Linked DNA regions of Caenorhabditis elegans. The protein of the gene in region 2 binds, or shares a complex with, the protein of the main gene of each other region. Each region holds a gene or a part of one and is shown on either strand. Other genes may lie near its edges.

Evidence for each region.
Region 1: the proteins of rig-5 (region 2) and zig-8 are in contact, whole or in part, in a crystal structure (PDB 6ON9), measured with the Caenorhabditis elegans proteins. Residues at the interface, in NP_001251129.1 of Caenorhabditis elegans: Ser113, His114, Met115, Val116, Ala117, Ser123, Pro124, Pro125, Arg126, Leu127, Phe130, Asp131, Lys133, Phe135, Arg136, Gln172, Asn174, Glu176, Ile178, Leu180; in NP_499714.1 of Caenorhabditis elegans: Gln32, Arg34, Glu66, Ile67, Ala68, Thr70, Asp74, Gly75, Ala76, Leu77, Ala80, Gly81, Arg83, Phe85, Arg87, Asp88, Leu117, Glu119, Ile120, Asn121, Asn125, Val127.

What each region holds. Positions count from the first base shown.
Region 1 is NC_003281.10:13,117,899-13,122,992, reverse strand, and holds the start of zig-8 (Zwei Ig domain protein zig-8), read right to left. Parts: upstream 3,174-5,094; 5' UTR 3,135-3,173; coding exon 3,080-3,134; intron 1-3,079. Other genes in the region: dhhc-8 (Palmitoyltransferase), read right to left, coding at 4,304-4,347. UniProt on the Caenorhabditis elegans protein: Together with zig-5, required postembryonically to maintain the position of ASI and ASH head neuron cell bodies and ventral nerve cord axons of PVQ, PVP and HSN neurons by preventing their displacement that could occur during body growth and movement.
Region 2 is NC_003279.8:9,571,334-9,576,176, reverse strand, and holds the start of rig-5 (Ig-like domain-containing protein), read left to right. Parts: upstream 1-1,799; coding exon 1,800-2,028; intron 2,029-2,242; coding exon of another isoform or gene 2,243-2,318; intron 2,319-3,581; coding exon 3,582-3,697; intron 3,698-3,760; coding exon 3,761-3,901; intron 3,902-3,948; coding exon 3,949-4,027; intron 4,028-4,082; exon of another isoform or gene 4,083-4,256; intron 4,257-4,843. Other genes in the region: C36F7.5 (DUF236 domain-containing protein), read left to right, coding at 153-233, 322-475, 546-1,054, 1,103-1,237, 1,285-1,374.

The DNA.
Region 1 (5,094 bases), on a different chromosome or scaffold from region 2:
TTAATATTTAAATATAGGTAAAGAGAATATAAAATTCGGAAGAAAACATTATTTTTATATCGACAACTTCCAAAAAATGGCAAAAACTTTTTTTTCAATTTTTTTTTAACTTTGGCAAATTTTTCTAATTTTCGAAAAATCATATAAAATTTAGAATTTTTTTTGAAATTTTTCCGCTATGATATTTGGTAATTTTGATGATTTCAATTTTTTTGTCTGTATTCACGTGGTGTCAGGCTTTCTCATTGCGGTTTCATCTACAAAAAGTGCGGGGAACTTTTTGCCCAAAAAAATGTGACGTCAGCACGTTTTTAACCATGCGAAATCAGTTGAAAAGTCTGCGTCTGTTCTCCCGCATTTTTTGTAGATCTAAGTAGATCAAGCCGAAATGAGACCCTCTGACACCACGTGTGTATTCAAAAATTGGGGGGGGGGGGGGAAATTAGTTTTCAGACCAATCATAGAAGTCAATCCAAAAAAAAACATTTTTTTTCCGATTTCTTTAAAACATGCTCGAAATTATTGAAAAAAAACCAGATTTTGAGATATTTTGGCAATTTACCAAAACTTTTCCTGAAACTTTTTGGAATTTTTTATTATGATATTCGGCTATGTTGAACTATTGTAAGTGCCTCTAAAATATATTCTACTTCTCTAAAACTCGATTTAAAAAGTACTAGACCTTATGACCTCCCCTCTGTACAACACAACATGACACCATCCTTGCTAAGTCCCCCCCCGCGTGTGGTAAGTTTCTTGGGATGTCTGCTCAAATTTTGTCATATTTCAAAGGGCTTTCAGGTTGTTTTGCCGCCCCGAAATGAGGCCATTAACCTGACCTCCCAGATGAAGAGAGAAATAGAGAGAATCAATTTGAAAATGATAAATGTTCTGTGGAGGATTTTTTGAAAGTTTTCGAACTTTCAGATTTTTTTAAAGGTGCGAAACCCCTAGAAACTGGGATTGTCAATGATTTTTTTTAGGTATTTTGAACTTTTTAATCATTTTTTGAAAATTTCAAAAAATGTTGTATTGTTCGAAATTGTTTAGGCACTTCAGCAAGTCACTAAACATGTCTATTTTTGATTTTTTAAATATTTTTAAACACAATACTAATTTATTTTCGGTTTTTTTATGTGGCTTATCCTAGATGGACAATTTTTCAGTTGGGCTGCCAGATTTTTGGCTTGAATAATAGCGAAAAAAATTAAAATTTTGTAATGCCAATATTGGCATTGTTAATGATTTGCAAAAGATTCAGAAAAAATTAGAATTTTTTTTTTGAAAATCTGAAGAAACTTTTGTTTCAGATTTTTCAAAAAAAAACTACTTTTTTTAACGTTTAAAAATTTTTTCATTATAATAAAACACTGCAATAACAACATTAAAATCGAAAAAAACACAGTTTTAGTGGAAATTTCAAAAATTCTATATTTAAAATGTTTTTGAAATTTTTCAGAAAATTACAAAAAAATTACTGGCAAGTAGTTAAAAATTATATTTTTAAGCACAGAAAACACCGAAAAGATTAAGATTAAGTCTGAAAGTGTTAAAATGGTTAATATTAACATTGTTAATCATTTGCCAAAGTTTTAGAAAAAATTTAAAAAAATGTTTTTTTTTGAAAATCTGAAAAATTTTTTTAAAAGTTCAAATTGCTCCTTTGCTGCTAATTTTTTTAGGAGCCTATTCAACAGGATAGTTCGAAAATGACATAGCTTGCAATGAAGTTCAATGTGATTTTTTTTTTGCAATTTTACCCAAAAAAAAGAGTTATCTTCTCAATTTTTATGAGATTTTTGCCACTTGTTCAGGCCCCACGATATATCCCAGCCGGAGAGATGTCTCTCAGGTAGAAATGGGGGACTCTCGGAGCCACGTGAAAACAACAAAGTGGCTCTTCCTCTTTCCGCTCGATTTGCTACAACTAAAACTAAAACAAAAAGTTTTCGGCCACCACCACCTGCCCTTTTTACACGCCTCGTTTCGGGAGGCTAAAGCCTGCATAATTGACACGTTTCGGAAAAGGAGCCCTTAAGCTCGGCGAGCTGGTAGTTTATTCTATATAAGTAAACTTTGAGGGAGGGCTCCGTCGAGCTCCAAGGGGCAGATGGATTGAGAATGGGATTAGTTGAGAAGAGGTAATGCGAGGATTCAAGTCAAGTGGTTGTGATCCACTTGTAAACTGAATTTCGTTTGAATTTATATATTTCTTGTTTATTTTTGAATTCAAAAATGTAAAAAGCTGATCATTTTCCAATAAAACTTCGATTTTTCGAAATCGAAGTGTGCAATCGCGCTCCAACGACAAATAAAAACCACAATAAGGGCACAGAGCGAACGGATTTCTGGCTTCCCTCCTAAATTGAAATGGAAGAGTTTGCCGAACTAGGCCATTTTTGCTCGGCCATATCTGATGTAGATTTCCGGCGCGTTGCGTGTCGCGTCGCGGCTCGCTTGTAAAACTAAATGTATTTGTCAGTGTGGAGTACACGACTTTCCCACGCGTTGTCCGACTTGTCAATGGGGCGCGAAAAGTGCAATGAGGAAGGCCAGAACTCCTTGTGAGAGCGGTTTCTACTACGTGGCTGCAAAATCAGAAAACTCGGCCACGCTTATAAAATGAATAAGGAGCATTTATTCGAACGTTGTACACTCGCTCTGTGAGGGTTTTTGAAATCAAAATGTGCAATCGCGCTCCAACACCAATAGGTCTCGTTAGGTATTTGACGGCAAAACCGGAAATTCAAAAAATTTTCTAGAATTTTTCGTTGTTTCTAGTGTTTTTTTTTTAAATTTCCAATTGATTTAACATGTTACATGTTAAACATGTTAAAAACATGTTAAAAAAAAATTTTGACACAAAAAACGCTGAAAATTCTGAATTTACAGTTTTGCCGCCAATACCTAACGAGACCCCATTAGCGCTGGAGCACGATTGCACTTCAGGGTTTGAAAACCGCGCGAAAATCGGTGGCCGAGTTTTCTAAAATCCAGGGAACTTGTGGCCTAAAAATTCCATTTTAAAAGCCACCAATTTTTCGGCGGCCACGTTAAAAATCCGAGAAAAAAAACAAACCTGTCGCATAAAGAAACGAGAATAATATCACACAAATGTTCGAAAACCTTCGCATTTTTAAAAAAGTCAACCTCCGTCGGCGGTGTCCAAATGTCCCAAAAAGTGGGCGTGGTCTGTATGTCTGCAGCAGAGTGCGCGAGAATTGGGCGGGACATCCGGGAGTTGTGTGTTGGTGAGAGAGAGAGAGGAGAGACGCAGACAGTGAAAACAAATAATTAATTAATCTTCTCTTGTTTTAATGTATACCAACATTTAGACGGCTCATTTTTTTTCGGAAAAAGAAAACACGAAAATCACAAAAATAAATACCAAATAATTCAAAGCATTGGATGAACAAAGAAGAGGAAATGATAATATTACTGTCTATTACACAGACGCGAAAAATATTGGCAGTTTTCGCGTGTATGCGCCTTTAAAGAGTACTGTAGTTTCAAAATTTCATGGCCGCGTTTGTTAAAGAATTTATGGGTTTTTTGAATATATTTAAATTTTTAAATAAATTTAAAACTAAAATATGAGAAAAACGTTGAAAAATCGATTTAAAAAATCCAAAGCAATACTTTTGAGATTACAGTACTCTTTGTCGTGTCGAGACCGGACGCAAAAATTGCCAAAAAAATTTAGCCGCGTCTGAGTAACATGAAAATCCTCCGAATATGGGTAATTCAAAATTAAAAGAATTTAGTTTTTCCAATAATTTTTAAACCAAAAAATCCAGATTTTCGAATTAAATACTCGGAAAATTTTCACATTTTCTCGCACAAAGTGGTATAGAGAGAGGGAAAAAAGACATAGAAATTCAAAAAAAAGATAAAAAACAAGCAAAGTACCAGTGATAAAGCGATAATCGTTTTTTGGATCAATGGAGTAGAGGGGGGGGGGGGGGTCGTTGTATTTAATGAGAAGCATCGGATTCGTTTTTTGAAAAATGCACAAGTTAACAATAAAACAGAGAGAGAGAGAGATTTGGGAAAAAAAAATTCAAAAAGCAACAGGAAAAGAGAATACAAAGAAAAATGATCAAAAAACAGAATTTTCAAAAAAAAAAAACCAAAATTTCAATTAATAAATATAAATGCCTAGATATGTACTTTTGTATGAGGAGAGGTGGGGCTCTGCAGAGTTGATGACGTCACACTGGTTGTTGTTGATTTCGCGCCAAAATATCGGCTAACCGTACGGCGTCCGTGAATCCACGTGGCTTTGATGATGCACCGTTGAGGATCACTGATGACGCGGTGGTGGTCTCGGCGGAAGGTGCTGTAAGACTCATGAGGGGATTAGGAGGAACGGTTAGGAGGAAATGAATTTAGACATTTTATTAGACCATTCAATTGAAATTTAATTCTAAACTTTTACAATTTCAATATTATTAAACATTCCTAAATAATTGTACATGACAGAAAATAGCCGCAAAATTTGAATTTTGCGTTTTTTTAATCATTTAAAACACAAATTTTCGTTACAAAAAATCCAAAAAAATTGCCAGATGTCGGCAAATTTGTCAAATTGTGTTTTAAATTAAAAATCACAACAAAAAAATTTAAAAAATCTATCAATATAGCTGAAAAACTAAAAAAAAATATCGAAACTATGTCTTTGTATGCGTTGGATTTCAAAAAAATCCCGAATTTTTTTTCGACAATTTTGGTGAAATTTTATAGAAAATCAATCAATCGATCTGTAAATTTTGCAAAAAAAAAATCGGCGTCGCACAGAAATAGAGGCGAGGCGTAATTTTGCAACCGTGCGGCGCGGTTTTTTCTGCTGATTTTTTCCATTAAAGGTGGAGTAGCGCCAGTGGGGAAATTGCTTTAAAACATGCCTATGGGTACCACAATGACCGAATATCATAGTAAAAAACTTCAAAAAATTTTCTAAATTTTATATGATTTTTTGAAAATTGAAAAAATCTCGAATTGCATCAAATTCCTATTTGAATTACCGCCAATTGTTCGATGTTCGATGGAGCGCGCTTGCATTATTTTAACTTTTATTTATCAATTTTTATTATT
Region 2 (4,843 bases):
AAAATTAAATAAAATAGAAACGCATCAAAATAATCATTACCTTCCAAAACCTTGTTATTTCGCAACTTTTACTCTTGGACGCGCAACTTAACATTGTAAGTTTTACAAATTTCACTTTTGACGAATCGAAATTCTCATTTTCAGAGAGGAAAATGCTGCATTTAATGTCATCGTTTTTCTACATATTCTTCACTTCGTGTGCAACAATTCAGGTTCTGTTCTTGTGCGGAAAGGTATTTTATTCGAAATTTTGGAAATTTGGATTTGATTTTTTGGAAATTTGGAATTTGGAAATGATTTGGAAATGAGAATAATTTTCAGAAAAAGAAAGGCGGTAGCAAGTTGGAAAACTCGGAAGCAAGCACAAAAAGTGGAAAAACTGGAAAAAGTGATAAGGGCGAAAGCTCACCGACTCCAGCATCAAAAGATGCCCCACCAGCTCCTGCTGCTCCAAATGCAAAACCTACAATGGCGGGTAAGTATTTGACAGCATTCAATCATGTCTATTCGATAAATGTTGAAATCAATAAACTCGTAACTTTCAGCCACGCACGATCCAAATTACCAAACACTTGCTGGACTCAACGACAATGTTTTCGAAAAGAAAGATGGCGGAGCAGGAGGTGTAGGACCAGCTCCACCAGCAAATGCAAAACCCGGAATGGCAGCAACCCACGACCCGAACTATCAAACATTGGCTGGATTGAATAACAACGTATTTGGAAAGAAGGATGGTGCTGCTCCAGCTGCAGGTGGTGGAGGTCCAGCTGCTCCAGCTGATCAGAATGCAAAAGCAGCTACTCACGATCCGAATTATCAGACATTGGCTGGATTGAATAATAATGTTTTTGATAAGAAGGATGGTGGAGGTGCTCCTGCTGCAACACCTGGTGGACCAAAAGCTCCTGCAAATATCGGTGCAAAAGCAGCAACACATGATCCAAACTACCAAACGCTGGCTGGTCTTAATAACAATGTTTTTGATAAAAAGGATGGTGGAGGAGCTGGTGGAGCACCTGCCGGAGGAAAGAAACCACTTCAGCCAATGAACAAAGTTGCATTTTTTTTTTCAAGATTTTTGATTTTAATTTTTGAATTCTAGAATCAAAAAGCTGCTACATTGGATCCAAATTATCAGACATTGGCAGCAGTTGGCGGAGATGTTTTTGGAGCTGATAAGAAGGTTGGAGGAGCTGGTGCACCTGGAGGAAAGAAACCAATTCAACCGAATAATAAGGTAGATTTTTAATTTTCTTGCAATATTGTATTATTTATTGTTTTTAGGGTCAAAAGGCAGCAACCATGGATCCAAACTACCAGACATTGGCAGTTGTTGGCGGAGATGTGTTCGGAGCTGACAAGAAGAAAAAATAGAAGATCAATTACTTGTACATTTCCAATAAATACGTCAGATCATTCACTTTTTCCAGAAGACAATTTATTTTGATAAATAATTAATTTATTGGATATCTGATTGCAAAACTGTGCTGTAATTGTACTGTATTGGTGATGTACGTAATTCATTTTTGATTTCTCAAGTGACTTTATTATTAGGTTAACTGCAGAAATCAACGGATTGATAATTGAAAGTAGTTAGAGTATCCGTTTGATGTGTCGATAAAAAAGGATATTGGAATGTTCTATAGATCATATTGGAATAATTGTCTTACAATCAGAATTGCTCACTTACATGAGTTAGTTCGCTCAATAAAAACAACTTTAAAAAAGTTTTTTTGCTCTCTTCATTGCTCAATCGTCGCTATTACCCATGGTTTGTCTAACCGGAAAACAGGAATAAAATGTGTGTGTCTTCTTCTTTTTCTTTTTTCTCTTCCACCCTCTTCCCTTATTTCTCCCGACTCCATCTGTGTCTTCTTTTCGGAAAATGGACCGCCCGTGACTCCGCCCTCTCGGGAGCACCTACCTTCAGAGGAAGAGGTCGCTTTGTCATTTTATTTCATATCCCCCTTCAAGAGAAAATGTATCTATTCGCACTTCTTTGTGGTGTATTGTTAGTTTTTAAACAGGGTAAGTTTTCTACATTTTTTGTTGTTGCCAGAGGAAAAGGGGGAGAAGAGTTTCGATATAGAAGATTTAGAAAATTAAATTTGGAATCAAACTCTCGCGCGGAGGGGATATTATTAGTTAACAATGAGCTGTAACGAAGAAAGGCAGCTCTAAGAATCCAAGAGACTCACTGAATTCCCAAAAAGTTTTTCATTTTACTTTCTGATTGACCATCATGCTTGTCGATGGAACTCCACCGACATCTTCCTCGATTTTAGTTTTGCCTACTATTTTGTGTCACCTTTTTGATGGTGAGTAATTTGGAGGTTTATGTAATAGTCAGCACTTTGAATATGTTTGACCACAGGGTACCTTTCTTATTTAAACTCTGAAAACGTTTCCCTTCCAGTGTCAAAATACCGGAGGCGCGGTCCACCCGCCTTTCAGTCGCCTTCCTCGCGACATTCCGAGAACGGACATTTTTTGTTACATTTTTAAAATGTATGTTGAACTTTTGTAATTTATTTCAGTGCTTTTCTTCTAATTTATTTTTCATCTATCAAATTTTTTGGAGGTGTTCTCTGGGCGAGAGGAGAGTCAGTGCGTCGTGACGTCATATATTCTGTAGTGCAATTTCATGTAGAAAAAGACCTCATTCATGTGAAACCTCATATAAAACTGTTATTCGAAAAATCCTTGAAAAAACTCATAGTTTATAGCTTATAGCTTATAGCTTATAGCTTATAGTGACAGACAATTATTCATACTTTCATATCCTGTCTATAAGAATTTTTGTCAAAGTCCGAAACATATTTGCTCCCGTGTTTTTATTTTATGTCTCTAAAATAGATGACACAAAATCGGAAGACCTCTCCAGCTAAACGATGATGAATGATTCAAAATTTATTGGTGAAAAGGGGCAAAAAACAAAAATAAGACGAATATAAAGAAATGATACCTGTGAGAGTCAGTAGTCTATGAAATTCCTGAATACTTGTTTTGTACTGGGAAATTTCGAATCGCAGAAATGCTAGCCACTAAACATCTGTGGGATAATCCAAAAAGTTTGTTCTATGTGAAAATAAAAACAATTCCAATTGGATTATTACTAGCCAGTGTTTTAATTCGGACAGGTAGTCATATAAAAACTAGTATTTTGGCGTTCAATATATTCTTAAAGCAGATATTTCACAGAGCAGAACCCTCAAAAAGACCGCAAAGTGTGTACAATTAAATAGAAAAATCACAAAAATATAACGCAAATCATAAATAATCTGTTGAAAACCAAAAAAAAACGACAGCCACTAGGGCGAGTGAAGAGAAATTGTATTTTTTATGCGTTGCAATTATTGCTACTTAGAAATTGTAGAAGTTGGACATGCAAGAACATTTTGAATTTCTCAAAAATCTTAATTTGTTTCCAATTCGGCAATTTGCTGATATTTTGGCCAAACTTCGAAACATTCGAACAAGTATTTTATTTGGATCTTTAGTCGGCTCCAATCCATAAAAATAGTTTAATTATAGTTCTAAGTGCATTCTACTCTCTAGATGGTCTATAAATTAGTTTTCAGCATGTTCACGTGGTGCTCCCCCAACAATTCAACAACCATCAATGTCTAGTGCAGTTGCTCTTCTTGGACAAGATGTTGATTTTACGTGTATCGTAAATGATCTTGGAAGTCATATGGTTTGTTATATTCTTTCTCCCATCTAAAGAACATCGTCTCACACGAAAACCGATCCATTATAGGTAGCATTTGTCAAAGCGGACTCACCACCACGGCTGCTCTCGTTCGACGAAAAAGTGTTTCGACGACGCAACAAGTACGAATTGAAGCCGCGAATCGGAGATCTACACAATGAATGGGTCCTCACTATTAAAAATGTTCAGGTTCGGAGATTTAAGTGTCGGTTTTAGAAAATTCTCATAAATTTCAGGAATCAGATCGTGGAAATTATTCTTGTCAAATCAACACTGAACCAATTACACTTTCAACCGGAGAACTTGATGTGAAAGGTATTCCATTTTGCAGAATTAATCGTTCTTAAAAACAAAAATTCGAAATTTAAATTGAAATCACTATTACTACTACTCATTCTATTCATCCATTCCTTACTAAATCCTAATCCGTTTGCTTTCCCAACCCGAGATAGTGCGAAGCAAGTGTGAAAATAGATTTGTATGCAAATGAGACTCCGTTTCCCCCTTCTTCACACAATTTTTTGTGCTCTTACTTTAGATATTTTTTGAGATAAAAAATGTTTTGTTCGAATCGGGGAACTTCTAAATTTTTAACATATTACGTTGAAGAACGGTCACACTTTTTTGCCGACCTTATTCTAAACTGACATTAGCCTTTATTCTATAAGGGAGAAGCTAAGAACATATGGAGAGGGACACCTTTTTAATTATTGGCTCCTAAGGGAAACGGAAGTCACAAAGGGTAATTAAAGGGTGGTGACAAGTATTGAAGACAAGCTTCTGAATACAATAGGGGGAACCTCCAAATGGAAAGACATTGGCGGATACCTTAATGTTTAACCAAAACATTTTAGGTAATTGCCTTGAAGGAAGTTTGAACTTGAATTACCTTTAGAAACAATGGATTTATTATAATGGATGTTTCGAAATGTTTGGTTTTTAATTATGAACCTTGTTTCTGTGAAGAGTTTTAGTGTTTTTCTGCTTAACATGGAGGGAGGGGGAGAAGTACACATGAAATTTGATACTTTTTCGAAATGTAGAAATATGTAAATAATAAAAAGATTTCAATAACTATCTGACTGCACAGCATCTATGATGGGGATTTGAGTGAAAACTTGAATATAAAGC